Elephas maximus indicus: one gene and its partners. The protein of the gene in region 4 purifies or fractionates together with the protein of the main gene of each other region. This does not show direct contact. Links are inferred from orthologs where the notes say so. Each region holds a gene or a part of one and is shown on either strand. Other genes may lie near its edges. The genes, in order: anaphase-promoting complex subunit 2, CDC27, ANAPC1 and ANAPC15.

Evidence for each region.
Region 1: the proteins of ANAPC15 (region 4) and anaphase-promoting complex subunit 2 purify together in Homo sapiens (affinity purification with mass spectrometry; 4 studies listed by BioGRID and IntAct, with this or other methods). This does not show direct contact. The link is inferred for Elephas maximus indicus from reciprocal best matches to the Homo sapiens genes ANAPC15 and ANAPC2.
Region 2: the proteins of ANAPC15 (region 4) and CDC27 purify together in Homo sapiens (affinity purification with mass spectrometry; 3 studies listed by BioGRID and IntAct, with this or other methods). This does not show direct contact. The link is inferred for Elephas maximus indicus from reciprocal best matches to the Homo sapiens genes ANAPC15 and CDC27.
Region 3: the proteins of ANAPC15 (region 4) and ANAPC1 purify together in Homo sapiens (affinity purification with mass spectrometry; 3 studies listed by BioGRID and IntAct, with this or other methods). This does not show direct contact. The link is inferred for Elephas maximus indicus from reciprocal best matches to the Homo sapiens genes ANAPC15 and ANAPC1.

Annotation. Positions count from the first base shown.
Region 1 is NC_064827.1:1,039,337-1,046,717, reverse strand, and holds the start of anaphase-promoting complex subunit 2, read right to left. Parts: upstream 3,315-7,381; 5' UTR 3,182-3,314; coding exon 3,065-3,181; intron 2,764-3,064; coding exon 2,141-2,763; intron 1,182-2,140; coding exon 1,049-1,181; intron 48-1,048; coding exon 1-47. Other genes in the region: microtubule nucleation factor SSNA1, read left to right, coding at 3,403-3,454, 3,916-4,115, 4,557-4,664; TPRN (taperin), read right to left, coding at 6,999-7,061, 7,158-7,264, 7,347-7,381. UniProt on the Homo sapiens protein: Together with the RING-H2 protein ANAPC11, constitutes the catalytic component of the anaphase promoting complex/cyclosome (APC/C), a cell cycle-regulated E3 ubiquitin ligase that controls progression through mitosis and the G1 phase of the cell cycle.
Region 2 is NC_064837.1:53,066,816-53,074,785, forward strand, and holds the start of CDC27 (cell division cycle protein 27 homolog), read right to left. Parts: upstream 3,267-7,970; 5' UTR 3,021-3,266; coding exon 2,994-3,020; intron 1-2,993. UniProt on the Homo sapiens protein: Component of the anaphase promoting complex/cyclosome (APC/C), a cell cycle-regulated E3 ubiquitin ligase that controls progression through mitosis and the G1 phase of the cell cycle.
Region 3 is NC_064835.1:40,984,719-40,992,042, forward strand, and holds the start of ANAPC1 (anaphase-promoting complex subunit 1), read right to left. Parts: upstream 3,243-7,324; 5' UTR 2,990-3,242; intron 1,009-2,989; 5' UTR 985-1,008; coding exon 772-984; intron 1-771. UniProt on the Homo sapiens protein: Component of the anaphase promoting complex/cyclosome (APC/C), a cell cycle-regulated E3 ubiquitin ligase that controls progression through mitosis and the G1 phase of the cell cycle.
Region 4 is NC_064825.1:52,739,527-52,747,652, reverse strand, and holds ANAPC15 (anaphase-promoting complex subunit 15), read right to left. Parts: upstream 3,191-8,126; 5' UTR 3,161-3,190; coding exon 3,102-3,160; intron 1,997-3,101; coding exon 1,867-1,996; intron 1,300-1,866; coding exon 1,240-1,299; intron 905-1,239; coding exon 767-904; intron 603-766; coding exon 543-602; 3' UTR 252-542; downstream 1-251. UniProt on the Homo sapiens protein: Component of the anaphase promoting complex/cyclosome (APC/C), a cell cycle-regulated E3 ubiquitin ligase that controls progression through mitosis and the G1 phase of the cell cycle.

The DNA of each region.
Region 1 (7,381 bases), on a different chromosome or scaffold from region 4:
TCCTGAAGGAACGCCTTGCCAAGCCAGCCGACCACCCTCTCGATCCACTGTGGGGCAGGCACGGCTGTGAGGTGGAGGCTGGCAGCGCACGGGCGCCCCAGGCCCTGACTCCAGCCCCCTCTATGCACGTCAGCCCCCCTGTTCATCTCCACTGACACTGATGTCACACGTGAGTGAGACAGTTGCACACACACTCACACGCTGCATGCACCGCGTGGGTACACCCCTCCAGGACACAGATGTTACCAGTGCCCTGCCCTTCACAAACAAAGCAGTGCGGGACAAAGTCACTCCTGTGTGTGTGTGTACGTGTGATCCTGCTGAGAGGCGTCCCAGACGTGGGTGGGGTTAACACCACAGAGACAGCCCAAGCTGCCCTGGGCTGCTGCGCCTTGAGTCCCCGGCTCACTCCAGTATCTGGGAATCTGCACTTCGTCCCAGCTGGGCTGCCAGGGCTCATGACCACTCTTGCCCACTGCTTGGAGGACCCCTATTGTACCTCCTTCAACCATGCTAACCGTCATTTTTGGAGAGCGACCCTCAGAAATGGCGGAGTGAGAACAGGTGAAAAGCAGGGAGCCACGACGGTTGGTCCCAGCTCTCCGCCAGCTCTGGGAGAGCCCCAAGCCTGTCTGTGGATGGCACAGTACCATGAGGCCCACCCTGGGATACGACCCCACCTTGCCAGGCTGTCTCCCCAGTCTCCCCCATTGCCCTGGCTGCTCTTCTCTTCCTGCCCCTCCTCCTCTGCCCCATGGGGGTGCGCAGGCCATGCTGGGATGCAGGCTGGCTGCAAGGGGTCAGTCCCCGGGGGGCGCAGCTAAAAGGAGATCAGTCTGTCCCTCTCAGGTGGGCCTGGCCACACCGCTGCTTGGCCCTGGCACTGCCTCGAACCGTGTGATTCCGCTAAGACTTCACCCAGCACGTCGTGGATGCAACATGATCAGTGCAGCCCCCGGAATGGCCTCAACTACCTTCGAGGTCCCAGCCCACTCCGTCTCTGCACTTTGGCACACTTCCAAAGGGGACGGAGCAAAGGCGGCGATACCTTGTGGAACTCCCGTAGGAAGGAGCGTTCGTACTCGCCCCGGCAGCGGTCCTCCATCCTCTCCCGGGTCACCTGGTGCAGCGTGGTGGTCACAGCCTCGGCACTGACCCGTTCCAGCAAACTGAGTCTGTGTCTGAGAACAGACGAGTGTGTGCAGTGTCAGCTGTGCCAGGGCTCTGTGGAAAAGCTGCTGGGAGAACAGAGCACTGGCGAGGTGCCATTTGGCCTGCCCAGCTGGACTGCCCAGACTGGGGTGATGGCCATTCCCGTAGGAAGTGGCGGCAGGGGAGCTACCAGAGGCCCAAGCCCCATCTCCCTGGCCTGGCTCGGAAACAGCAACTGAATCACTGCTACCCGGGCCACGTAAACATAGATACCACCGTCTGCACCTTTCAGCACGAACGCTGGTCTAGAAAAATAAAGCTACTCACGAGGAAACAAGAAAGAGCGTTCCATACAACCTTCAACTGGGATGAGCCTAGCAGAAGCCCTTCAGGGCCTCTAGGGCCCTTGGCAGCAGCGGGACCACTCCCTTGATCCAAATCTAACTAAGAGACCCCTTCCAAACAACGGCATCGCAACCACTTTGCTCAACATGACAGAAATCATAACCGCGCTGGAGGGAGCAGACAGCAGAGCCTGGCTGCAGCCAACAAGAACTCCTTCCCAGAGAATGGGGACACAAATCTGCCTGCCTGACACGCTCAGCACAGAAGAAATGGTGAGCCCCCTGTTTGTTACCCACTGGCACAGCAACCACAATCACAGGCTACGTACACTCCCGTTAGCCTACAGGCAGTACAGCAGAATTCTGGGGAGCCAGTAAGTTTGGAATGGGGACAGAAATCTGCTGCACGCACAAGTCACATAGGGTCTCAGTGTGGGCAAAGTGTCAACTCCTGGGCTGTGCACAAAAACTAAAGAGATACAACTGGTCCAAGACCAAAGGCTCAAAACTCACCATCCAAGGGTGCCAGGGCCCCCTCCCTCTGGGATGCCCCTGGCCAGCTGACCAGCTCTCTGCAGCCAGACCCAGAGGAACAATTGGGAAATCAGGAGGCCCAGGGGCGTGGCCACACGCATAGTACTCACAGGACCTGGCTGAGCTGGTGGAACTGCTCCAGGGCCTGGCGACACCAACACTGCTGCTTGTCACTGCCACACCCAGCACAGAGTGGGCTCTGCAGGAGCCGGTAGTAACGGCGGCGAGCATATCGGCTATCCAACTCCCCCTCCAGTTCTGGGTCGGTGCCTCCTTCCCCCTTCCTCTTACTCTGCATATAGACTCTCAAGAAGCGCCCGTAGAGACGTTGGATCATCTCCTGGAAAGTTCTGGGAGTGGAAAAAAACAGAACACCCCGCAACATGGTGTGGACCTTCTCCCGCAGCCCCTGTGCGCCAGTGCCCATCAGCAATCCCAGGCGAGACCATTTCTCCAGGAGCTCTAAGCTACGCAGGTAGGGATCCAGGCGATTCTCCAACAGGCCAAAAGCGTCAAGGAGCAGCAGAAGGCACTGGGGCTCGTCCGCGGAGTTCTCGCGCTGGGAGATGGCATTCCAGAACTCGGGGGAGATGTTAGCCTGCAGGTCGTTCTGCAGCACCTCCACGAACCACTCCTCCAGGACTGAGTGCAGGCCGTGGCCCCGCAGAACCTCCACAGCCGCCCGGAGCTCCTCCTCCTTTGGCTGGACCGCACCGCTGGTCCGAGAGGACGCCTACAGTGCAGACAACCGTGAGGAGAGGGGAACGCAGAGCTGCGAGTGGACGTGGCGGGGGAGGGGAGCGGCAGGCGGGAAAGGCGGGCAGTGCAGCGGAGGGGAGGCTGCGCGAGCCCCGCCGCTCCTCGGCCGCAGCGCGCCGATGTGGCGCCGACGCTGGGAAGGGCTGGCAAGGGAGCCGAAAGATGCGGGACTGTGGAGGAGGGCGGGAGGGCAGAGACGGGCGATGGACAGAGGCGGAGGCCCTAAAGCTTCGCGGGGACCGCGCGCGAGCCCGCCGTTCTCTTCCGGGCCTCACCAGCCCCAGCGCAGCCGGCGGCACCAGCCCGGTGCTCACGGTGTTCCAGGCCACCAACAGCTCCTGTCCGGGCGCGGGGTCGCAGTCCCCCTTCGCCCCCGCCGCCTCTGCAGCCATCTGGGCCCACCGGCTCCCGGGTCCGCCCGGATCAGCGCGGCTCCTTGACGCACGGGCCGGGCGCGGCGCAGGGCGATGACGCAAAAGAGGCGCGCGGCGATGACGTTGCAGGTCGGCGCGCTCTCGGTGCGCACTGCGCAGGCGCAGGCGAGTGCTCGGCGGCGGCGGTTGGAGTGACCGGGATCCCCGCGGCGGCGGCGGAGGGGCGAGTGTCCGGGACGATGACTCAGCAGGGAGCGGCGCTGCAGAACTACAACAACGAGCTGGTCAAGTGTGAGCACGTCCCGCGCCGTGTAGCCCGGGCGGTCGTAGCCCGCGGAGGGGCCTGGGCCAGCGTTGGCACAGCCGCCCGGGCGCAGCGGGGCGCTGGAGGCGGCGGCCCAGCGGCGGGGCCCCAGGCAGTAGGCGCGCGGCCGCCAAGCAGTTGCGTGGCCGTGGGCAAGTGTCGCGCCGAGTCCGTGCGTGGCCTCCTGGCCCCAGGGTGGGCCTAGCGGTACATTAGGACCCGCCCAGCTCGGTCACTGTGCGTGGAAGGCGCGTGGGAGAGCGCCTGGTGCGCACCGAGTGCGCACTGAGTGCCGCGTGTTTGTAGTGAGCACTACCTCCCAGGCACAGCGCTGTCGCCCACGTCCACCGCCTTATTGTATCCAGAGGCCCCCGAGAGGCAGGACTCTGGCCCTCCTTGGAGGGAAGGCGGCCTAGCCAGGACCTTGCTCTCCTTCCTGCCGCCCCAGGCATCGAGGAGTTGTCCCAGAAGCGCGAGGAGCTGTGCCGCCAGATCCAGCAGGAAGAGGACGAGAAGCAGCGGCTGCAGAACGAGGTGAGGCAGCTGACGGAGAAGCTGGCCCGGGTCAATGAGAACCTGGCTCGAAAGATCGCCTCTCGAAACGAGTTTGACCGGACCATCGCGGAGACGGAAGCTGCCTACCTCAAGGTGGGACTCGAGGCAGCTGGGGCCACAGGCCAGGCCGATCCCTTGTGTGGGCAAGCGTTGAGTGCCTAGGGGGTTCAGGACTGGGGGCTTTCCTGAGTAGAGGCTTCCCTTCCCCTCCCCGGACCCTGGCTCAGCACAGGGGCATTCAGTTGTGGGAGCAAGGGGTCCCAGCGAGCAGTCTGCATCTTCCCCACATCTCGGCTGGGCCCACTGAGGAAAGGAGAATGCTGTCTGTGGAACATGGTGTGTCCCAGCCCATGTTCTCCTACCACGGTTGTTCCTGAGGTTCACTCTGCTCGGTGTGTGATGGACGGGGGGCCGGCAGAGAACAAAGCACTGGCCAGACCTGGGGAGGGAAGAGGCCCCTGCAGGCCCTGCCTGTCCCCGGGTACCCCCCAGGCGGGAGCATCAATGACCAGCCTGTGTTTTCTTTGGTCTCAGATCCTGGAGAGCTCCCAGACTCTGCTTAGTGTCCTGAAGAGAGAAGCTGGGAACCTGACCAAGGCCACGGCTTCGGAGCAGAAGGCCAGTGGGGGCAAGGACAGTTGACGAGGCCATGGGTGGGCCAGGCTACTTGGCCCCCAGGAAACCTGTTAATAAAGCGTCTTTGTTCTGTATGGCAGCAGCCACCTTCTTTTCCTGTCTTTGGTATCAAGGCAGCTGCAGCCTTTGTTAGCTCTGGATGAGAAAAGTAGCCTACCAGGCAGGGATCTGGCTCCGTGGTGCTCCCAGCAGGCAGCAATTGGGGAGGGCACTCCAAAACCTCCACGCCTCCCTGTGCTGCTGGTTCTAGTCTCAACCCCCAGGACTTCTGCCTCCCTTGTCCCTCCTTGGCCAGCAGGGGCCCAGGCAAGTGAGGTAGTGGTTGGGCCCTCTTCTGCCTCAGAACTGAGACCTCAGAGCTTGTTCCTAGTGCCCCGTGACTGTGTGAATAAAGGCTTTCTTTGTAAAGAATCGTGCTGGCTTGTGCCTGTGTCGAGTACATGGGGCTGCTTGCCACCCCCAGAGCTAGCCCACAAAGGTTCTGGCTGGGTATGGTGGCTCCTCCATGGGGCGGGGCAGGGAAAGGGGACTTGGAGTGGTTTTCCCTGTGACTGAGAGCCCCAGTCTCAGATGCAGAGGGTGCCACTGGGCATCTCCCATGACCCTCCTCCGCCTACCTGCAGATGTCAGCCCCAGACCTTTGCTTCACCTACGGCCACTTGCTCTATCCCTGTCTCACCCGACCCCCACTTACTTTCCCCCAAATCCAGGACACAGCCCATCCTTCTCTGAGGGCCTTCATCTGCTGGTCGTGCTCTCTGCCACACCATAGCCGGGCCCAAGGACAGTTGGAAATGGCTGAGTGTGCACGCCAGCCCCCTTCTGGACGCTGGTTCCTCTGAACACAGGCCTTATAGCTTCACACCCTTTCTGTCCACTTCTCTTCTTCCCTGCGCTGCTGGGCCCCATCCTTCATCCCCAGACCTCTCCAACCCTACCTTCGCTGGCATATCCTCCACCCTGGGGTCCTAGCACTGCAGCAACCCAGGCCTGTGGCTGGGTGCCTTGGGGAGACACATGTTGTTGAGAGGAGAGAGAACACACCAACATGCTGCCCTTTGTCCCAAACCTGGTCCCACTTGCTCATTCATAAGTTTGACTCCCTAACTCCCCAGGAAGGAAACAGGTATTCAGACTCAATGCTTGGTCGGTCCTGCCTGTGGATTTGTAAACAGCCCGGCTCAGCCTGCACGTGGCAGCGAGGATATCTGGGCCCCCAGCCCAGCCAGGAGCTGCTCCAGTGTGGGGGCCCCCACCTCGGCTTTCCCACCTCTTGACATACTTCGGTTTTTCCTGCCAGCACTAGCGCCCACCCCAGGCACCCACATCTGCCTGCCTGCCTGCCACTGTGTGGGCTCTGCTGGGTTAGGACTTTTCCAAGCCAAACAAAGCCAAGATCTCCAGGGCTCTGCCCTGCCCCAGACCACCCGTGGGCCCATACTCAGCCCTTGCTCTTCAACCCCTCTCGGGCTCCTTGCCCCTAACTCTTCAGGGAACCAACTCAGGTCCTGGCACACAAAGAATTCCCAATCTCAGATGGAAGGCCCAGCATCCTGCCTCCTAAAGTTGCCAGCTCTAGGTGGGGGTGCTGCACCAGGCGCTCCCGACACTGACCGAGAGGCGACACAGGGCAGCTGGGTGAGAGAATGGTGGGGGAGAGCTGGGGCTGTGGAGATTGTGAGAGGCCAACAGGTACCTCCTACTTGGCCACAGGTGCCCATCTACAAGGTCCCTCCCCTCCCCCACCCCCCAGTGGGCCCCCAGCAGATGTGCTCCGTGGAACCCCAACCCCTGAACCCTGAATGCCCAACAGGAGGGACCACCCAGAGACCGAGGCGGCAGTGTCCAGTGCTGTTTATTTAGTCCGTTCCTCAGGAAAGACTTCCCGTTTACCACTCAAGAAGCAGGGCCAGGCTCAGCCTTGGGGGTCAGTGCTGGCTGGGCTAGGGGTGGGCCAGGGAGCCCCTGCAGGGGAGAGCCCCTTCACAGTGCAACTGGGCAGGATGAGGAGCCAGGGCTTGGCAGGACAGAGGGTAACCTGGGCCAGAGTCCGCTCAGGCCCCCACCAGGACAGACAGGGGCGCCATCCAGCCGGACCCCTGGGCCCCACACCGCTCTCTACTTTGGAGCCCATCCAAAGGAAGTGAGACCCAGACAGACCCATGGGAAGAACCCAGGAGCCCCAGTGCAGGCCCTGAGCACCTGGCTGCCCTTGCAGGGCAGAAGGTGGTACATTGTGGCAAGGGAGCCTGGTAAGGGGTGGGGACAGAGTGAAGGCGGGCTCCTGGGAACTGCTGGCCCCACCACCTGCACCAGGGTTCTACCCATCATCCTGAAGGATCAGAAATAGAGGGCCGGCTCACTGCGGAAGTCCGAGAGGTCATTCTGGCCGGCAGGAGTGAGCTGGGAGAAAGAGGGGATGGCTGAGGCTGCTGGCTTGTCCAGGCGTTCAAGACCCTCTCTGGCCCTGCCCCTTGGTACCCTCCAGCCCCCACTCACCATGATCTCCTTAGGAAGGGGCTCCACCTCGCACGGAACCAGCTCTGCTGTCTGCTCCTGCCACTTGCTGAAGGCCACCGAGTGCTTTGGAGTGTAGCTGGACAGGTCTGTGGGTCATAGGCGCAGTATGAGGACCTGGGATCCCAGCACTGCCCTCCCCCACTGCCACCCTCACAGGTGGGCACTCACCTGGGCTACCACCTGGCAGCCGAGGGCTCTCGGGC
Region 2 (7,970 bases), on a different chromosome or scaffold from region 4:
AACAAGGGCTATGTCAAGACACTAGTTAATAAAAGGGTTAAATTATTAGGTACTTGCAATAACTCTTTTTTACCCCAAAGTTTATTCTCTCAGTTTTAAGTCCTTTGTAGTGCTGTCTTCAAGGTACTAGCCTATACCTAAATATAAGGTAATCTCTTATTTTCCCAAAGAAAATTTTAAGAACAAATGCATTTCAGCCAACTTGAATATATCAGCTTTTGGGAATGCAGATCAAAGTCAAATGCCTACTAATTTATTAGTTTCACATAAAATATATTCAGAAAATTTTTTTTTACTCCTATTGCATAAAACAATTTAACTCAAACTGTTCACATGCATCTTTGACATCAGTATCTATTATCATCAGAGCCACTTTTTTTAGTTATCTAACATGATCTTCCAGAGTATACCACCCTCAATTCTAAATTACGTGAAATATGGTACTTTGAATCCATGTTAGATGCTTTCCCTGGACATCTGACCCCAAGCTAAAAGTACTCCTACACTATCTAGTGATCTCCACATTGACACTGTACATATAGTACCCATGTACTACACTCCTTATGAAGGTGATTTCTGAGGCATGTTTAAACTTCATCCGACACTTCTAACTACGAAGTGCTCCCCCAGGAATAACTGTTAAATCTATATGGCTTTGCCTTTTTATGAAAAACCAATTTCATCGGGTGACTTTTATAAACAGCCAGCCCAGTACTGACTAAAGTCATTTAGAGTAATGTGTCTTCCCCCAAACAGTTACTATTAAAAATAAAATAACTGATAGAGCTTCTGCCTCATAATATGAGAGATTTTTATAAAAACTCAAATATAATAATTTTCTATGAGAGGTAATTTGGCAGAGGAGTGACTCCATCATATTTAGGCACATATACTATATCAGACTGACTCTTCCAAGCTAAAACTTTAAAGGAAAAAAAAAGTAGAAAATATTTGCTCATCTTTCCTCTCAATTTTTTCCTTTGCTGAGTAATACTATGAACCCTGAGGCATCCCAATAAAGGAAACAAAGTAATTTTCCAACTTACTCCCACTCCTTCCCAGATATATGCACATTATACTTTAAAAAAATATTTATAAAAACAAATCATATCCATCAGTCCTATTTTTATTCTCTTCCATAGTAATTCTTTCCCATTTTCAGCGCTATCCTTCATAATTTGATCTTTATCACCACAGCTCAAGCTGCTTGGTCCTCTCACTGCTCAAGATGCCTTCTTGAGTGGCTTCCTTTTATACTATAAATAACACCCAAAATTCTCACCTAGTCATATTCTAAAACTCATTACCACCATCCCAGAATGAACAAAGCTAGTGGGGGAAAAAGAGCTTAATTTGACTTTTAATCCTTAAAAGTATCTAAGTGCATACTGCTAAGAGTACTTTAAGAAAACAGAAAAACCTGATGGGCACTATCTTGGAATAGGCTACCTATTTCTTTTCTTTTCCATGCTTTTATACAGGTTGGTATTATTACTAAATAGTAGTTCTATGCCATTAATGAAACTGTTTTACCACTTAGAAGTTTCTGGGGTCAGAGAAAACAAATGATAAGAAGATAAAAATCACAAGCATATGAAACAGAAATTAGGCAATTTAAGTAATATGTTTAGCTATTTAAGAAGGTACAGATAGCAACTTCTAATCTCCTGTTAGGTCCAAAAAACTCTTAAAAGGGATTCTTTATTAGTAAGAGGAATTTGAATGGAAAGAAATAACTTTCGAAGCAATGGTAGAACTAACTTGTAAACAAGTAAATTTCCTACAATAGAATCCCACAATACATCAATTTGAACACTAATAGCTGCTATATGTAAAGAGCTAGAGAAGAAGGCAAACTAGGAGAAATGAGTATTTCATGCCATGAAGAAAAACTAAGGAAATATGGAAGTAGTGATGTATTAAAGTATTTACTATTAGATACCACAGGCCTATTAGGGACAATATGAAGTAACTTCTAAAAACCAGTTCACTTTGTAACTCTAAAATAAAGAAAATCCACTACTCAATGACAGCAGTTGATAGAGGTCAACTCTTCCAATCAAGTCAAAGATCATATGGTGGGTTGAAAGTCCCCCAAACCTGGTCGATCACCAAGGGACACAAGATTCAGTTTCTTCGATGGAAGGAGGAAAATGACTTGGCACTGCATTCCACACTTAAAATCCAGTAGGCTTTCTTTGATGCCAACAGAGCACTGTGTGTCAAAGCATACCTTGCTATGTTGAAGACAATGAAATGGAAAAGCCATTACTAGTCTTTCGTTTCCCAAACAGTTTATAAACGTGCACGATAAAATACTCCTGACCCTCATCACAGGTAGTGGGGGGGGTAAAAAAACCTCCCGGACTTGGTGTTTCTACCCCCCCTTCCTTTTGGATAGGTGCTTGCACCTCAGCACTGGCCTTAAGAGCTCTCTTCTTGGAATTGTCCTGTGGAAAATTCACTCAATGAGAAAAGCAACGTGGACTAGAAAGGCTGTGACCAAAACAGAAATTAGTATTAAAAATGCCGATCTTACCCTCCCCTTCCACCCTCTCATGTAAAACAAAAACAACCCCCGCAAACTTGCCCCACACCATTATGAGGATCACACAAGCTCCGATCAAAGGTGATTCTCAACTGCCCTTCAGGCAGGAGAACACCTGGGGCGAGTTTTCGGCCCCTCATCTCTCACCCCCGGCTCGGCCAGGCCCCTAGACTGACAGGAGGGGCTGGCCAGACGTCGGCTCCGAGGGGAAAGGCGGTATTGTAGCCGCACCCTGCTCAGGTTAGGGTAGAAGTATTGTAGGACCGGGGTGTCAAGGTTTAGGTTGCGGGCAAGGCCGCCGCACTGACGAAGGGACAGGCAGGAGCCGGCATCAGGGGAGGCGGGAGAAGCAGCCCGGCCTAGGCCGCACCAGGCCGCGGAGTGGCCATACGCTGCTTCCTGGCCGAGGCTGCGAGCCGAGCTTCGAAGAAGGGGTTATCATTACCTGGACGGGTTCCTGCAGCACCGTCATCCTTGAGGCTCAAGCCCACTTTCTGCTGTGCCTCAGGCCCCCCCCCGTAGCGGCTCCGGCCCGGCCAGCCCCGGCTCATTTAAACTCACCAGCGACCGTTACCGGGGGATGGGGGAGGCCGAGCAATTGCCGAGTCCCTCCGAGCGAGACACGGAAATACCCGAAGTGAAAAGCGACGAGCGGGAGCTAGACGGGAAGGCCCGAAAGGGACCGGAAATAGCCGAGGAGAAGTGGCGGCGGAGGAGACCGTTGCCGGAAACTGTCGAGGATTACCGGAGTTTACCGAGACGGACCCAGAGCAAAGGTTCGCCATCTCAGCCACGCCCCCACCCGCCCACGTCACGCCCCATTGGCCACCAGAAGGCCGGGCCACACCCAATCGGCAACCACCAGGGTGGGCGAGGCTTGACGGAACTGAAGGGGCGCGTTACTTGGTGGGGCTGTAGTTTCGATTCGCTACTCTTTCTGCATTAGTTGGCGCGCGGTAATTTTAAGCAAAGAGTAGAATCCTAAGAGTTTGGAGCTGACGTTAATTAACCAAGAAGTATTTGTGTGTTGAGTTTAGTAGTCACTCTGTCCCAGCTCAGAGGAATATCGCCAGAAATTTGGAAGGATCGCCCTCCCGAAAGAGTATGGCCTTAAGGAAATTACAGTCTACTTAAAAAAAAAAAAGGTTTTTTTCTTTTTTTAAGGGAAAAGCAGTGTAACAAAGAGCACTACATTATGTGGTGCTCATTAGAAATGATGTGAAAATTCAGAGGCGAGGGAAATTAATCGGGACTGAAGATGAAGTTTTCATGAAAGGAAATTTAAACTGGACTTGAAAGGATGGGTAGTAGTAGAAGAAAAGAAAGCGTGTGTAAGTGAAGGGAGGAAGAGCTACCAGTCTGGTAAGAGTTAAGGCATTAACTGGAAATAGTTACCTAGGTGACCAGATGATGGAGAATCTCAAAAGGTGTGATAGGAGAGGCATTCTCATCTATCGGAAAGAGCGTGGGATTGAAAATCCAGAGTTCTGGTTTTGAATTTCATCTCTGGCACTAACTGGCTTTGGGTCCTTAGGCAAGTCACAACTTTTCTGAGCTTCTATTTGCTTGGTCTGAGAAAAAAATGAAAGACTAAAAGAATTATGTACGTTAATATATGTGGCTGTGTCTAGTACACATACGCTCTCTCAAAGTTCCTTTCTGCCAAATGAAAAATGAGGGGGTCAGGGAACTACTAAAACTTTGTTTTGTTTTTCAGAAGATGAAAAATTTTTTAAGGTTAATTGTCTAAGTGCATCTGTAGGCTAGTTGTAGCACTCACGGTGCACTCCATTTTGCAGAAAATCCTCTTTCTGGTTCTCACATTTTTATGCAGATGAAATCAAGTTAGAAGTGGGGGTGCTACTTAAAATGTGGAAGTGGTTTTGTAATTGGGTAATGGATGAAGGCTGGAAGAGTTTTAAGGTGCCTAATTGTAAAAGCCTAGATTACCTTGAAGAGAGTGTTGGTAGAATTACGGATGTCAAAAGCAGTTCCGGTGAGGGCTCAACAGGAAGTGAGAGCTATTGGGGAAGTCTCTATCATCTTAGAGAAGAGACAGGGACCTTCCTCCAGAATGGGCAGGGAGAGAATGCCTTCTCCTAGAGCCAAAGCCAGCAGCCTGAATTTGGACATCTAGCCTCCCAAGCTGTGAGAAAATAAGTTTCTGTTTGTTAAAGCCACCCATTTGTGGTATTTCTGTTATAGCAGCACTAGATAACTAAGACAGGGCCCCCTTCCTTTTGGTGATGTCGGAGGGAGGTCTTTTTAAAAAACCAAAAACCACCAGCTGATAGAGCTGTATCTTTCTCTAACCATGTCTAGTTACTGTTTATGTACTTGTAGTCTTGTAAAAGACAGGTCCTAAGGTGATTTTCTGCTGCCCTGTGCCTTGTTCTTTTAGCAAGATTATGTTAAACTAAAGAAGCCCTGGCAGTGAAAATGGTTAAGTGCTCGGCTGCTGACTTAATGGTTCTGTGAGTGAAAGACCTGGTGATCTGCTCCCATAAAGATAACAGCCAAGAAAGCCCAATGGGGTAGTTCACTCCATAACATATGGGATTGCTATAAATTGGAATCAACTCGATAGCACCCAGCAACATGTTAGATTAATTAGAATGGGAATAGACTTCTACTTTGTCCAATACGGTATTGTTATTGTTCGCTGACTCGTAGCAACCCATTATGACCGAGTAGAACTGCCCCATAAGGTTTCCTAGGCTATAATCTTTCTGGGAGCAGATCACCAGGTCTTTCTCTCACAGAGCTGTTGGGTGAGTTCAAACCACCAACCTTTCAGTTAGCAGCTGAACGCTTAACCTTTGCACCACCAGGGCTCCTTTCCAATATGGTGGTCACCAGCTATTTAAAGTTTAATTAATTAAAATTAAATTAGAAACTTAGTTCTTCAGTGGCCTGAGCCACATTCTAAGGTCTTATAGACATAAATGGCTGCAATATTGGACAATACAGATGTAGAACATTACCATTGTTGCAGAAAGTTCTATCAGATAGCACTGGAAAAAAAAAATTAATGATACTAGTTAAAATTTAATGAGCATTTACCATGTTCCCAGCACTATTCCAAACTCTTTGGATTAATTCTTTTAACAACTTAACAGAGGTAGGTTCTGTTTTTAGCTGCATTTTATAGATGAAGAAAATGAAGGTAAATAATTTCCCCAAGGTCAAACAAATAGATTCAAACTCAGGCAATCTGGCTTCACCTTCCATACTTAAGGACCATGCTATGCCATGGAGAATAATTTATAAACCAAACCCCATCCAGTCAATTCTAACTCATAAGGATCCTATAGATGATGGATAATAATTAGGAGCTCATATTAGTGATCCTGGTGTTTCAGTTGCCTGTTGATCTTCTTTCCCTACACACTCACCCCAAAACTTAGTGGCTTATAACTGTAGCCATTTTATTGTTCATGATTCTGTGAATGAGGGATTCAGGCAGAGTTCTGTGGGGCAGCTCATTCTGGCTCCATGTGGTGTGTTTGACTGGGGCTGGAAGATCCAAGATGGTTTCACTTGTCTGGGATCTTGGTGCTAGCAGTTGGCTGCACCCCTCAGTTCTCTTCCAGGTGACCTTTTTCCTCACGTGGTCTGTCGTCTATCCCCAGCTTCTTGACTTGAGTGGCTGACAACCAAGAAGACAAAAACAGAAACTGCAAGACCCCTTAAGGCCTAGGTTTTAAGTCAAACCCCATCACTTTTTGTTGGTCAGAATAAGACGGAGGGCCAGCCCGTATTCATTAGGAAGAGGAACAGACTCCACCTTTTGATTCAAGGATTGACAAAGTGTTGCTGCCAAAGGCTTGTGAGATGGGAGGGATTGCTGGGCTATCTTTGGAAACAATCTACCACACCAGATCTGAGATGACATCTCCTGATAGTGGGCATGGAAAGAAAGGGATGGATAAGAGATGTTACTTTTTAAAATTTGACCGTTTTAACTAAACACAAGGTATCTTTGGGTGGCACAAACAATTAAGCACTCAACTACTAGCTGAAAGGTTGGCAGCTCAAATGCACCCAGAGGCACCTCAGAAGACAGGCCAGGAGATCTGCTTCTGAAAGGTCACAGCCTTGAACATTCTATGGAGCAGTTCTACTCTGGATATATGGGGTCACCATGAGTTGGAATTGACTCGACAACAATAACAACGATTAAATACTCCAGATTTGTTCTGATCAGTTCAGAATGCAGAATGTTATGGATAGAATCATGTCCCCCCAAAATGTGTGTCAACTCGGCTAGTCCATGATTCCCAGTATTGTCATCTGATGTTATTTTGCTATGTGTTGTAAATCCTACCTCCATGGTATTAATGAAGCAGGATTAGTGCTAGCCATGTTAATGAAGCAGGACTCAATCTACAAGATTAAGTTGTGTCTTTAGTCAATCTCTTTTGAGATATAAAAGATAGAAGTGAGTAGAGAGACATGGGAACCTCCTATCACCAACAATCAAGATCCAGGAGAAAGGCGCGTCCTTTGGACCCAGGGTGCCAATACTTGAAAAGCTCCTTGATGGGGAAATATTGATGACAAAGACTTTCCCCCAGAGCCTATAGAGAGAGAAAGCCTCCCTCTGAAGCTGACATCCTGAATTGGGACTTCTAGCTTCCTAGACCATGAGAGAATAAATTTCTCTTGGTTAAAGCCATCCACTTATGGTTTTTCTGTTACAGCAGCACTAGATAGCTAAGATACAGTATGACTATTACTTTTATTATCTGGACACTTCTATTATGGAGACTAAAATTACATTTGCATTTTTTAGCAGCCACATCACATGTTTGCTAATGTTAACCTTGTGGTCACTTTACAAATCCAGCTCTTTTCCACACAACATACTGCCAACCCAGGTCTTATATTTGTGCAATGGATTTTTTGCAAACCTAAATGTAGAACCTTATTACACAGGATACATAAAGATGATTCTTTATGTGTAAAAATGTGTATCTAGAATGAACATTTAAAGAGTCTGTTGTCCTTGACACTCTAGCTATTAAACTTGGAATTTGCCTAAAGCCTTTTTATTCCTAAAATAAAAACAAAACAAATGAAAAATCATTTCTTTCCTGACTGTTTGTTGCTCACCCAGCTAATACATCTGTTGTGGTTTTCTAATCAGCCATAGCAAGGCCACATTGTTTGATGTTGTGCTTTGATGGGATCTTTTAGAGCATTTTTGCTTCCTTCTCTGTTCTTTTTTTTTTTTTTTTTAAATTTTTCCCGCTTCTTTGTTCTGGATTGTTCTGTTAAAACTCACTACTCAGGAACATTTGGATATCTGGCTATCATCCATTACCAACATTATGTTAGCTGGTGAGTGAAGTTGAGTTGCAATAAGCATTATTCCCCAAATGGTAAACTATCTCTTCTCCTAAGCCTGCTTCTGGATTTA
Region 3 (7,324 bases), on a different chromosome or scaffold from region 4:
ATGTTTTATATTATACCTCTATACTACTCTACCAAAAACATAAATAAACCGAAATTATATCTTATCTATAGATTCAAAAATGAGATCTTTAATATGCTTGAGAGAATAAAAAGTCTTACTAAGCATACAGGAGGGTGATAAAGGGGCAGTGAGGTGCGTATGTGAATTGCCAGGAGTTTATGCACAACGCAAATTTCTCTGCTTCGCAACATACATACATCTTGCCTTGTCTAACTGGAAGAGAGTGAGTTTTATATTCAGACTTCCCCTCCCTGAGATTTTGGTATTCCCCAATGGGACATATGAAAATGGAGTAAGGTGACAGGGGTTATGATTTTCTGACACACTTATTTTACATTTCCCTACTTAAGAACTACTGCTCTACCTACTGACATGATATTTCTTCTCTCCTCTAAAAACATGTAGGTCTTTTTCATCAGGGGCTATTTCTAAACCTCTCCCAACTCATCCCCAAATAACATGAGATCCAGTCAGTACAAACTAAGTAAAAAGAGATTTTAAATGGTGCACAATCACAGTAAAGAGCTTGATTCTCATCATAAAATCACAGTGAGTTACATATGACAAAATAAGTAGCCATGACACTGATACAATAAAGTCATTATCTTAGCCTTGATGGAAATGGCCAAGTTTTAACCACCACCCTAGAAGTAACATTATACTCATTTCTCAGTTGCAATTTAAGGGGAGCCTTAAATTACAATTATATTACATCACTCTACAAAAATATGATGGGAAAATTAATGGAACCTTCTGTTTCTCGTGGATTGTGACCTCCTGAAGGGATCCCACCAAGCCAGCAGCACCATCAGAGGACCATAGCTCAGAGGCTGGCTGCAGCTGGCGAAGCTGAAGGTTCAAAGCATTGGGATGGTGCTTGCAGTGGTCTCGACCAAAAGGGACAAATTCCTGCAAATCCCTGGCTGCAATCATCGTTGCCCTTTCTTCATAGACGTTCGACATGGGTTCCAAATATCAACATTATTTCTGTAGGAATTCAAACACATTCTGGTGAGCTTCTAGAGTCAAAATCAGACTAAAAATACCATAAGAGTTTACAGTCATCAATCTTTTGATGAGTATCAAATAATTCCATTTTGTTGTCGGTATATAAGTAATCCTGACATCAAAGGGCATTCCAGATCTGACTCTCACAGGTAGATGTCACGTTAGTCACACACTAGCTGAAAAATAAACCTACCACTGTAGGAAACCATTGAGTCAAGACAAGCACTCATGTCCCACAGCTACCCCATAACGTTTCTATACTTCACACAGAAGGTATGAAAACACATTGTACTTTATGGTCCCACGACTGCATGGCTTCTCAACATTCAAGGTCATTTCTGCTCAGATACTGGAGTCTAATTCAAAAAGCACACCTAAAGGCTTGATGGCATTTGGAATGAGATAAAACATATTACTCTAATTCATCAGAGGTTGAACTACTGCTTTCAGTTAACCAATCCACAAAAGATCTAATAAGCTATCAAAATGTCATCAGTAGTTTTGACACCCCAATTCCACCTAAATCTATAACTACACCCCACTTACTGGTCCAAACCCAGGGAACCAAGGCATACGTAACTCTACCCATGAAACAGAAGGCTTATATCTGACTTAACAGCAGATTTAAGAGTCCTAGCTTTTAATTAGCAAAATTTATTGCAGTTTATTAGATTTACTGGCAGATTTGAATGAGCTGTGGGTCAAGACGTGCCCCTCTACCTCCCAAATATTTCTACATAAGTAACTGACAACTGGTAAAATTCTGACACTGCATAACATGGCATACGAGGTGGATTTCGGTTCTGTCTGCAACAGGACTGCCTTAAAAATGGATCTCATGGCATCATATTTAGGCTGCAATCCTCAAACACAAACGTCAAGGCAAACATCCAATGTCAGCACCGTAGACAACTTTTAGAAAGCACATTTTAAAACAGTGCTCACAAGTAAGAGGATTTCATTAGATTTGGCTGAGACTTCTCATCTCAGGTCTTTTTGGCATCAGTTGTTTGTTTTCTGTGCTGCACAAACACCTCAAAGCCTGTGCAGTTCCTTTAGAGTGGTTAAGTTACTCCACTGTGAATTAAAAGGTAGTCCTGAGATTACTGTACAGTGCAAAACACAACCCAAGTTCGTTTCTTCTCTACTGCTAGAAATCAGTACTGAGAACAAAGTCACTTCAACTTTGGACATAACTAAAATAACGCTTTATAAAACTTACAATAACAAAATTCAGCTGGTCTTCCTATACCCTGTTCCAAAGGATAACCGATATAAAAGAACTTGTGACTTTATCCAAGTTCGTGTAATTTTGTAACGTTATTCTCTTTTCACTGCAGGGAAAACTCTAGAATTACTTTCCCAGTACATTACTTTCGTTCTGAGATTATGAACACAAATTTAATACTTTCACAGTACCCCGAACTTTTATAAATGTGTTTTTACTTGACTTAGTGGCAACACAAAAAGCTATACAGAAACGTACTATGTTAAATTAATATGACAAAAATCAAAATTTTTCCTACATGAGATTAAAAGATCATCCTGAAAAGGGAGCAGAGGGCTGGCCTAACAATGAGTTTGTGACCAATTTCTCCCCCTAAAAGTCTAACAGAACCTAACGTAAGACTGAACGGTGTGCACACAACGATCCCTGGCTTGAGTCTCAGCAAAAAGACAAAGCTTCTCGGCCCCTCTGGCAGGCGACTAAGGCAGCGGGCTAAGAACCCAGGCCTCAGAGAATCCGCTCAGAGGGATTGGGCTTCATCGAGAGACTGGTTAGCGAGGAGGAGACCGGGAAGGCGCACCCAAAAAGTACAGCCCTCAAGGCCGTCGGAGCCCACCACCCGCCTCCCAGCCCTCTGGTCAGCAGGCACCGGCCGGCATCGGGGCGGGGATGAGGGTCCCGGGGCGCGCGGCGGGAGGTGGACCGCTGGGCTCCGCAGCCCCGCACCCGCACCTGTGTGACTCGGGACGCGTCAGGCGCGGCGAGCCTCGGCTGCTCCCCGGAGGCGCGGGGGCCGGAGGGGCCTGAGGACAGCGGCGGGGTCGGTCACGGTGACTCCTCAGCCTTCGTTGATTCTCATCCCTCTCTCTCCCCTACTCCGGAGGCAAAAGGGGCTGCAGTACCAGGCGCGACAGCTAACAGCAGGCTGACGTGCCGGCGAGCAGCTCCGGAAGCTGTTTAAATTGACACGACCATCTTGACTTTCCCGTCTTCCCTCGCGCCGGGGCGGTTCGGGCACCGCGGGAGGCGCGCGGCGCCCGGCGGCCTTGGCGCCTGCGCAGTTGCCTGAAGAACACGAAGACCTTACCTCCAACCGCCTTAAGAGGCAGCACTGAGTCCCGAAGCGGGAGCGACTCCAAGAATCTACGTGTGATGGCACCCTCCTGACGCAGATCTTCTCTAGATCATGTCACTACGAGCTTGAACTGCCACCTGACTCTGAGTTATGAGATTTTCTGGCTGCTTTTGCTTCTGCCTCCTTGGCCCCAAATGGAGGTACGTGCCTCCAGGCTCTGGGGCCCTGCTCATCTTCGTTCTACGTGAGTGAATCTGCACCACAAGGCATCCAGACTCCTTGAAAAGTTGGTGAAAGGTATGAAGGCTCTAACAAAAAACGTGCAATTTCAGAGGTTCACAGGTGATTCAGAGACCCAGGTTAAGAACTCCAGCCTTACCCCCCCTCCCTGTCTGGGTTCAACTGTACAATATCACATTTATGGAAACCAGAAACTTTCTTGAGCTCTAATCCCAATTAGGAGCCAGGGTGGCACGAGCGGTTTGCAATGCGTTGCTAACCTAAGGTTGGTGGTTGGAACCATGGAAGCGCCATGAAAGAAAGGCCTGAGGATCTCCTTCTGTAAAGATTACAGACAAGAAAACCCTGTGGAGGAGTTCTACTCTGTAATGCATAGAGTTCCCATGAGTCAGTCTGACTTTACAGCAGCTAACAACAACAATCCCGTATTGCCAAGTTAAAACTATTGACAGGCCTCTTAGTGCTTAGGAATAAACTTCAAATGCTTACCCAGAAATGTAAAGTTGGCTAAAACTTTATGACTTCGCTAAAAGCATCTACTGGGATTCCCCAAACACACCTTGCACTTCATGGCCTTACTCTCTGTATTCATTGCCATGCCTTACTTAGCATGTCACCCTTCAGGGTTCAGCTCAAGTGTCTCTTCTCAGGAGGCTTCACACCAACAGGAAGGAGCCTTTCGTTTCTCAGAACTTTGGGCACAACTGCCTTTCACCAGTCATTTACCTGAAATCAAAATACCACCAGACTTTCCTGGCTCGACGATAAAATGAGGTCAAGTTAACAATCATATCCCAAATGCCCTCTCTTATCCTTTATGTATTTCCCCCCACAGGGTCCCTACCTTCCTTCTCCACCAGGTCTTTCTGGTAGAACCTGCACCAGGACACACCTCAGATGCATCTCAGAGTCTCTTATTGCCACCATCCTCCAGATCCTCAGCCTCTTGTCCACCTCAGCTGCCACCATGGCCTGCCCCAAAGGCCACCCATGGTTGCACTAGTCCTGTCAGCCCCACTACCAGGCACTCGCCACAGAGGACAAAGCCCTCTCCGTTGGCTGCTGCTGTGAAGCCAGGACAATGCGTGGCACTCCCTAAAACTCAACTATGGCTTCTCCTGCCTCCCCCACAGGGAATGGCAGCTGCCTTATGAAAGGGCCAGAAGACATAACCTAAAGTATAGGGAGTAATTTGTGATCAAGGCAAATGTCCATCAATAGGAACAAGCAGGAAGGAGCCAGATGTATAAAATCCCTTTTCTTCCTCCCTCCTGTGAACTACTCTAAGGCCTGGTTTTTCTGCATACCTGTCAGGACATGTCCTGTGCGGCAGAGTGGCGCACCTGCCAGGCAGTCTGCTGAGGCTTTGGCGTCCCATGAAGCAGAATCCAGTGCATTACTTCTCAAGCTCCCCTGCCTCATTTTCCCATTTCATTCATTCTCTTCGGTCTAGAGATTGAACCACCCACATGAAGCATCAGCACTAATCATTCTTGCCTCTGGCTCCCTTTTCTAAGGAATTCAGGCAGTACAGTCCACAAAGAGTGTTTTTATACTGCTAATTATCCAGCTGTGAAGTAGAGTCACTGAAAGGATTTACCCAGCTTTTTCCCTTGCCTGTTCAAGTTATCTTGCCTGCTCAAGAAATTTTCTTAAGGGGCCTCCCTGAGGCCTTACCTGATGATGTCCACTGTGAGGACACCAGGGTCTACACCGATAGCTCCCCTCCAGTACTCCCAGAGACCACCAGTCAGTCCTTTGGGGCTAGAACATTGCTGTGTTCCCTGCAGAACAGCAGAACTGGCCCCACTGCTCCTTGCAACACTCATGGTCAGACATCGGTCTAACAGCGTTGTCACTAACAGCATTACTTGGACTCATGATCTGACAGTTTCTTAAGTAAGCAAATCCTTCTGCTTCTGCCACTAACCCCTCTGCTCATGGGGCTCGAACCATAAATCCAGGAGTTTCCTAGGCCAGACAGCCAACTCACTGCACTTTAACTGTGGCTTCCAAATAAACTACCTTAAAAATCCATTGCCATCAAGTTGATTCCAATTCATAATGACCCTAATGCACAGAGTGGAACTGCCTCATAGGGTTTCTAAGGCTACAGCCTTTACAGAAGCAGATTGCCACATATTTCTTCAGTGGAGCAGCTGGTGAGTTCAAACAGCTGACCTTTTGGTTGGCAGCTGAGTTCTTTAACCACTGCACTACCAGGCCTCCTCAAATTACCTTAAGAGTTCCTGAAATTACATTTTGGATACAAAGGACCCAAAAGTCAGGGTACAAAGGAAAGGGAAAATAATAGAGTTCACTGCCAGTTCATTTATATGGTAAGTGGGTTAACAACCATATTTTATGAATATATTCAATTTTCTAGTATATGATTCACAAAACTTGAAGTCAACTGAAGCATACTGTCTTAGTCATCTAGTGCTGCTGTAACAGAAATATCACAAGTGGATGGCTTTAACAAAGAGAAGTTTATTCTCTCACAGTCCAGTAGGCCAGAAGTCTGAATTCAGGATGCCAACTCCAGGGGAAAGCTTTCTCTCTCTGTCGGCCCTGGAGGAAAGTCCTTGTGATGCATCAGTCTTCCCTTGGACTGGGAGCATCTCAGCACAGGAATGTCAGATCCAAAGGAAGCGGTCAGCTCCCGGGACTGCTGTCTTGGTGGCTTGAGGTCCCCAACTCTCTGCTTGCTTCCCTTTCTTTTTATCTCTTGAGAGATTAAAGGTGGTGCAGGCCACACCCCAGGGAAACTCCCTTGACTTTGGATCAGGGAGGTGACCTGAGTAAGGGTGGTGTTACAATCCCACCCTAATCCTCTCAACATAAAATTACAGTCCCAAAATGGAGGACAACCACACAATACTGGGAATCATGGCCTAACCAAATCGATACACACATTTTTGGGGGGACATAACTCAATCCATGACACATACTAAAAAACAGTTGTCACAGGTATACCCAGTATTATAAAATAGATCTCTTCTGTTGGTGTAAACACCCCCGATAATTAGCAAAACTCCACATATATAATTGCTATGCAAAAAAAACAATAAAATCCCTATTTCTAAATTTTAATCAATTTTTTGCAAAATATAAGACTGTATTATTATCATTTGCTGCATAATAATAGTAGCAGAAACTTTATGGCTTAAAACAACACACATTTTTTATGTCACCATTTCTGTGGGTCAGGAGTCCAAGCATGGCCTAGCTCAGTCCTCTGCTTAAAGTCTCAACAGATTGCACGCAATGAGTTGGCTGGGGTTTTGTGTCCTTTGAGGCTTACTCAGAATTCAGTTCCTTGTGGTTGTAAGACTGAGGGCCTCAAATTTTTGCTGTCAGCCAGAGGCCACCTCAGCTCCTAGAGGCCACTCACAGTTCCTTGCCATGTGGAGCTCCCCAACATGGCCGTTTATTTCTGAGGGTCTGCTAGCAAGATGTAAGTCACGGTCTTATATAATCTAATCACAGGAGTGACATTCCATCCCCTTGGAGGGTTAGAAGCAAGTTACACTTGAGGGAAGGAGATTACACAAGGAAGCAGGTACCATTGGGTACCATCTCAGAAGCTGCCTAGTATAGTCTCTAATATCTATCTGATAAGTAAGTTTAAGGCCTTAAACTACCCTTTTTAGCCAAGGGAGTGAAACGTGGGATGTGTGGAGCCCCTTTATACAAGGGCTTTTCCTCGCCTCTGAGCCCTCGCAGCTGTCTCCACTCAGACCTTCTGAAAC
Region 4 (8,126 bases):
GCCACCCCTCTCCAACCCATGCCATTCTGGGGGGGATCAGAGGAGACAGCAGACACTGGGTTAGAGGCCCTCCAAGAGGGGCTGAGTGCAAGCTGACCAGAGGAAATGGCATAGGCGCCTTCCTCAGCCCCAACCCACCTGGCCAATTAGGTCTTGCCTGAAGTCCCTTCAACGCCCTCTCCCCAAAGCCCAAGAGAAGACATTAGGCTCCTCTGGGCCTCACGAAGTGATAGAGAATAGAAAAAGGGGGAAAAAAAAAATCAATCAGTCCTGTGTCTTTATTAAAGAGAGTTAGAAATAGACCAGACCTGGCAGCCAAGGGGAGAGGTACTGGCCAGGAAAGTGGGGTGGGCTCAGGCCCTGGGGATTCGAGGGCAGGCTGATGGCCTGGGAGAGGCCAAGGAGATCAGGTCCTACCAGCAGCTGCAGAGGTGTCCGAAATTAAGGTTTCAGGCACTGGAACTGTCAGCTGGTTCTGCAAGGGGTGCAGTGTGGGGTGGGCTGGCCTGGGATCTCCTTGTGGACATTCCTTTCCTGTCTACCTAGATCATCCACTGGTCCTGATCCTGCTCGTTGCCTTCCATGTCCACCTGAGGAGGAGGCTGGTGTGGGTGGGAAGGGGCCTCAGCCACCCAGCCAGCCCAGGTCCAAGGGCCTCATCCACTCTGCCCCCAGTTGGATCCAGGATTTCTGCATCCCTTGGTCACCAATTAGGTCATAGGAAGGGGCTAAGGAACAGAGGCCCTCCCTCTACACCCCTACTTACCTCATTGACCTCTCCATCATCAGGTGACTCGTTGTAGTCATTCATCTCATCCATGTCCTGCATGTCCTCGTCATCCTCTGAGTCCTCCTCACTATCTTCGTCATCTTCATCGTCCTCCTCCTCCTCATCATCATAGTGCTGGTGGGGCAGAGGAGAGCCTGTGGGCATTATAGGCCTGCCCAGACCAGTTCAAGGGTGGCCCACTTACAGCCTCTCTCTGGGGCCAGTGACTGATCCCCCAACTCCCTAACGCTGTCCACATCAGGTCTAGCAGGCTGGTACATGTTCTGCAGGACCTTAGTGTGGGAGACAAGAGACCAGCCCTCCACTGGCCCTAGTGCCCACCCCCTCTAACTCCTCTTTCTGGTCCTCACCCAGATTGCTCTGGGACCAGAGGCAGGACCTTGGAAATTAGGGGAGAGCCTTGGCCCACCCTGGGCCCCACACCATCCCTACCTGCTGGAGCCACTTACCTCTGAGGCCGGCTTCCCAATAGGCACGAGGTTGTTATCTTTTTCTGCAATGCTCTGGAGCTATGGCCAAAGGGAGAGGGGAGCATGGCCAGGGCCCTATCAGGGCAGATCAGGAGCATGGGACTGGCCCATTTTGCCCTCAAGAAGACCCCCAAGTGTGGCAGGGGAGATACTTCTTCCATTCTCAGGAAGATCCAATTCCCTTCTTTCCATCTGCCACTTATTTATGAACTTGATCCAACTACTTAAACTCTCTGGGCCTTGGTTTCCTCATAGGATTACAGTGAGGGTGAAGTAAGAGGATATCGGCCTAGAACATCTGCGAGGTCTTCAATAAGTAATCAAAATTATTTCCTGTGCTTTAGGAAAACGAGCCTGGACTAAGTGTTAGAAATGTGGGGCTCCAGTCTGGCCCAGAGGTCCCACAGTCCCCTAGCAACTCAGGGCAGGGCATAGCTGAGAACCTAGGCCCCCAGGGCTCCCAGCTCCAGATTCTTCCTAGCTCAGGACAAAAAGCTACCCCAGGGCAGGTCTCCAGAACAAAGCAACGTCATGGTCCAGTAGAAGGGAGGGTCCCTGACTGAGGTGCCCACTATTGTGTCCCTACCAGACTAAATCCTCACTCACCCAGGCCTGATGCTGCTGTTCCTGCTGTTGCAGTTCTGTCTCCTCCACACAGGGTCGATCCAGATTAAACCAGAGTGTCTCCGTCACACGAGGAAAGAGTGAGGGGAACAAAGTGGACATGGCTCCTAGACTGAGGGAAAAGATCAGGTGAATCCAACTCTCAGAAGTGGGTTTTTTTGTTTGATAGGGGGTTGGGGTATAGTTGAAGGTAGCAGGGAAGCAGCCCTTCTGTCTGGGAATCAGTTAGACCTGGATTTGAGTCCTGGCTCCACCACTTACTAGCTGTTTGACCTTGGACAAGTCACTTAACCTCTCTGAGCCTCAGTTTCCTCATCTGTAAAATGGGGATAATAATAATCATACCACCTTTCTAGTTATTCTGATAATAAAACAATGGATTTTAAAAGCTCTTTGTAAGCTGTTCAAGGAGGAAAGAGAATGGGAGACAAGTGTAGAGACAAGAATTCAAAATGCAGACTGGAATTATAAAATTAAAATAGGGGTCTCTACTTCCTCCTTCATATACTGAAAACCTTTCTGCCTCTCCATGATGGAAACCCTGGTGGTGTAGTGGTTAAGTGCTATGGCTGCTAACCAAAAGGTTGGCAGTTTGAATCCACCAGGTACTCCTTGGAAACTCTATGCGGCAGTTCTGTTCTGCCCTATAGGGTCACTTTGAGTCAGAATCGATGCAACTTTGTTTTTAAAATGATGGTCCGTACCACACCCACCTAGTGTCAGAAATTTTGGACACTAAATCACCTCTCACATGGACCACAGCCAAATGCGGGAGTACCACGTGCAAGCAGGGATTCAGTTAGACATTTCAGAAGGCGTGAGTAAATGAGCTGACACACGGATAAATAGACGGGAAATTGAATGGATGAACACGCTAAAAAAAAAAAATCAAGTAAATTCAGCTCTGACTGAGCAGTGAGGGACCCGGCCAGGAAGGTCTGAGAGAGTCTGAATTAAAACCTTTCAGCTCACAAACGGGAAAACTGAGGCCCAGAGAGAGGCTGCGATTGGCTGTAGGCCACACAGTCAGTCCGATCTCAGAACTCCCGAGGAAAAAGGACCCAGGCCAGGCACTAGGGGAGACAAGCAGGAGAGAAGGATCTATATCTAATCCTGCTTTTGCTCTGATTCATTTGACCGATCCAAGGGCAGCCGCTGCCCTTCTCGGGAACTCAGTTTCCAGTCCGCGCAACGGGTAGGAAACCATTCACCCTCACCTCCCAGAGGAACTGAGAGGCCAGAGACCACTGCTCTGAAAGCCCAACCCACCGCTCATTCTTCCAGAGAGTTGTTTGCTTATTACGATAATACGGTGGAGTTGACCAACGAGGAGAGGGCAGGGGCGGGACTCGGACAGGAGTGTGCCCTTATAGGGTTGCTAATCGCGAAAGGAGCTGGGTGTGGGAAGGGCCAATTGACTGGAAGAACTGTCGGGTGACAGGAAGTGACACCAATGAATGACGGATCTTGTACGGCAGGGTGGGGCTTAGTCTCGAGGAAGCGGCCAATGAGCTGAAGGCCCATGAGGATAAAAGCGAATGTGGAACTCTTGAGGAGACGGGTCAAGAGATACGGGTTTCTTTGGGGAAGGGAGGAAGAAACGCGCGAAGAAACAACAGCCATAGCCTGCTTCTGTACTTACCGCGCCACTAGGCGGCAGCCGGCGGCGACCCGGAAGCACTTCTTCCTGCCTGAGCGGAAGAACCCGCCAAAATTCCGGGACACACCAAACGCATGCGTCTTTGGCTTTCTTAGTTTCCCGCTCCCGCCCCACCTGACCGGATGTGACGTTGACACACCTTGGTTACGTTAGGGGAGGAAATTTGCCACGCCAGCTCCATGGGCCCCGCCTTCAATTTTAGCCAATCGACCTCTCCATCCTGGCCCCGCCCCAACGGCTCATTTAATCCCTCCACTTTGTTACCCGGGCTATGCTGTGTTTGCTTGTCAACCCCTGCTGAGAAATAGCTGCCGGGGTTGCTGCATTAGTAGCAGGAAATTTGCCTGCTTGTAGCCCAGAGAACGGCTGGGTTATTTTAAGCGTCTTCTGTCCTTGCTCAGTCTCACTTTCCCGCTTGAACACATTCATCCATTCGTTTATGCCTTGAATAAAACTATTTGTGTCCCTACGTTTTTGTTTTTTTTTTTATATTCCAGGCCGTGCTAGAAGCTGGGGATAAATTTAAAAACGTGCTCCCTGCCCCCAAGATCTCATACAGTCCAGTGGGAACCCAGACCATGCAGTCCCGCAGTGGACTCGTTAGTCTGTTTAAGTTGCGTATTCAGTCTGACATTGGAGGTGCTGTCCAGGCTTGAGTGACTTAGTCAGCCTTAGCCACACACTCAGTTGCTGGCGAACTCAGCTACCCTCCCCTCAGTGGTTAGCCCGTCATCTCTCCTAGTCTTTTGCTGACATCTCTGTCCTAGTAACCTCTGACTCAGCCTCTTTAGAGATCCTCAAACCTTCTGGCAACAGTGTTCCTAAGAACCCAACTCCTATTCACCCTCCTGCACCTTCCAGGGCCAGCAGTCATCCACAGTCCCACTCCTGCACTGACCAGATATGTGGCCTTTGGCAATTTAAGTCCTTTTTTCCTGTCTGGTCTCAGTTTCCTCTTTAACCAGCATCATAATGTCTGTCCAGCCTCCTTTCTTTCCTGGGCTCATGTTATCTGAGGACATAACAGGTGTTTAAACAGTTGTGTATTGTGCCCATCAACTGTGGTTATGCTGCCCAGCCACTCTGGTTGTTATAATGTTTTTCCTTAAAGAGTAAAATTTACCTTATCCACCCTTTTCATTAATTCATTCATTTACTCACCCATTCATTCAACAAATACCTATCAAGTACCTTACTATATGCCAGTCATTGTTCTAAGCAGTGGGTATACAGTACTGATCAAAACAAACCAAAAAAAAAAAAAAATCCCTATCCTCATGGTGCTTCCATTTGAATGAGAGAGAATAAACAATAAAGAAATAGACAAATAAAATACATAATTTTTAGGTTGTGATAAATACTGAGAAGAAAAAAATCAGAGAAGTGGGAATAACATGTAGGAAGGAGGGAGGTGTTTTATCTTAGGTAGGGGGACCAAGGAAGAAGTCACTGAGACAGTGACTTTTGAGTAAAGGTCTGAAGGAAGAGAGGGAGAGAGAGGCCTATGCGGACATCTGGAGGACAGCATTTTTGGGAAACGAGAACAGCATGTGAAAAGAGCCTCGAGTGGCTGGAGCACAGTGTCCTATGGGGAGAGTAGTAGATGAGGGCAGAGGGGCAGCAGGTGTCAGATAGGTACAGCTTTGCAGGTCATAATAAGGACTTTGACTTTTACTCTGCTTTGGGGAGCCAGTGAAGGTTTGTTTGCAGAGGATCCACACAATCTGATTTACTTTTTTTTTTAATAGTATTTTATTATGTTTCCAGTAAAGGTTTACACAGCAGTTTCAGTTCCCATTCAACAGTTTCTACCCAAGCTGTTCAGTAACATTGGTTGCATTCTTCGCAATGTGTGAACATCTTCATTATTTCCGTTCTGGCTGTTTGTTTCCATTAATCTCGTTCTGACTTATATTTGTTGAGGGTCACTCTGGCTGTTCTATGAGTAACAGACTTCAGGAGGACAAGGGCAAAAGAAACAGGGAGACCAGTTGGAAGTCTATTGTAATAACCCAGAGGTGGCAGATGGAAGTGGTTGATTCCAGAATATATTTAGAAGGTAGACAAAGCAAGAGTTGCTGGCAGATTGGATGTACAGTATCAGAGTAGAGCCAAGCATTTTGGCCTGAAGAACTTGGAAGAATGGAGTTTCAGTTTTTTGAGAAGGGAAAGACTGGGAGGTGCTGGTTTGAGGGGAACTATCTGGAGTTCAGTATTGGCTTTGAGGTGTTGAGTTTAACATGCCTGTTAGAAATGTCAAGACACTATGGATTTGCAGGTCAGGGGAGAGATCTGGGCTGGATATATCAATTTGGGAGTCATTAACATGTAAATGGTATTTAAAAGCATGAGACTAGATGAGATCACCAAAGGAGTGAGTACAGATGGAAAATAGTTTCCTCCAGTATTCAGAATTTGAGGAAACCAGAAGCAGCAGCGGCAAACAAGACTGAGGAGGAAGGTCAAAAAAGTAGGTAGAAAGCCAGGTAAATTGGGTAGTGTCCTGAAAGCCAAGAAAACAAAGGGTTTCAGGAAGGAGGTAGTGATCCGCTATAACCTAGTTATAAACAAAATTGGGTTTATGTTTGTTTCCCCAGCAGACCATGAGATCCTTGAGGGCAGGGGCTGAGTGGTCTCTATGTCCCCAGAGTCAGCCTGGCATCTTCCATTCCCTGGTTCCCTCACGTGCTTTCCCTATGTCTCCATCAGTCTCTCCTCCTATTTTTCTTCCTTACAGATTCCTACCTCAGGCACCCTTTGCCTCCTGTCCTTCCAGATGGAAATCCCCCAATGGCCTAGAGTTTCTTTCCTAGGTCCTCAGCCAGGTTCAACAAGTCAAGGTGACTGGTTAGTTGGGGGGAGGAGGAAAGGGAAAGAGAGAAGCAGAAATTGGCGGCAACCCCCTATTTTTTGGCCCAGGCAACTGAGTTGATGATCGCATTTGCTTTACATGCATTATCCCTCAGTTATCCTTGCCAAGTGTTATGACTCTCTCTCATTTCAAGGATAAGAAAACTAAGATTGAGTAATTAAGAAATCTACCTCATTCATTCATGAGTAAATTTCATTTACTCATTCATTTGTTCCAATGGTAGGTCAATTTTATTGAGTGCCAACTGAATGTCAGACATTTTGGTAGGCCCTGGGGATACATTGATAAAAAAAAAATTGGGGGGGGGGGAATAGAGAAATGAATCAGAAATAATCCCTGCCCTAGAGAAAAATAGTCTAGTGAAAACCATGACAATTATAGAAAAGGATGGTAAATGTTAAAATCTATGTATATGCTATGGTGTTATGAGATCACAGAGGATGGGGGAATGAACGGGTTCTGAATAAACTGAGTTAAGAATGTGTTCCAGAGAAGGAAACATTTAGTGGCCTTTGAGGGATGAGTAGGAGTTCACCTGATAGGGAAGTGGTAAAAGGAGATTATCTTAGTATACTAGTGCTGCTGTAACAGAAATACCATAAAAGAAGAAGCAGGAGACCAAACTCACACTCTTTTAAAAGAGAAACTACAGAGTTTTCCTGAGGACTGGAGAGATTCATGAATCAAGATACACCGTAGCTCTTAAGCAGAGAACAGGAAGTGAGCTTTTTATAGGGTGGAGTAAACAAAAGCTTATGTGCTCCCAGGCACCAGAAGTGTATATGACAAAAAAAATCTCAACGGGGTCATTAAGCCACAATCTTTCTTAACATTAGTAATTTTATTTGTTAACATCTTGAAACATCCTGAACAAAGTATTCGGCCTAGAACATGTGTGTCAAGCTTTCTGTAACAACTGTATACCTGGTCCCATCCTCTTATCTTAAAATAACAAGCTATGCCTACAGATTTACAGACAGCCACGGAAAAGCAGAAGTAGAGCAAAGGTTTTAGGGAGTGAGTCAAAATAGAGTGTAATTTAGTACTGGGCCAGCCATTGCAGTTACACCAGGTGCCTCAGGTTTTCAGGTCTGCACACATTTCCCCCTTTTGATCAAGCCACCACTAGGGGGTGTAGATCACCCACAAGGGAGTTACCCATCTTCTGCAAGGACTTTGTATCTTGCGGATGGCTGCTCTGAGGAGCTTTTAGGACCCCAGACACCAGCTCTGTTATTAGAGGTGGCCAGGCACCGTCCCATGTTCCCTTGCTATACTTTCAGGCCTCATCTTCAGGGTGAGTTGGTCTTTGGCTGGGGTTAGTGTTGCAAACAAGGCCACATTAGAGGAACAACCTGGCATTTCTAAAAGTGTGTGATCCCAGAACTAAAATTTATTCTTCTATGAAAAATTGTTGTTGTTGTTAGGTGCTGTCGAGTCAGTTCTGACACATAGTGACCCTACGCACAACAGAATGAAATGCTACCAGGTCCTGTGCCATCCTTACAATCGTTGCTAGGCTTGAGCTCATTGTTGCAGCCACTGTGTCAATCCAGCTCGTTGAGGGTCTTCCTCTTTTCTGCTGACCCTGTACTCTGCCAAGCATGATGTCCTTCTCCAGGGACTGATCCCTCCTGACAACATGTCCAAAGTATGTAAGACGCAGTCCCGGCATCCTTGAGTCTAAGGAGCATTCTGGTTGTTCTTCTT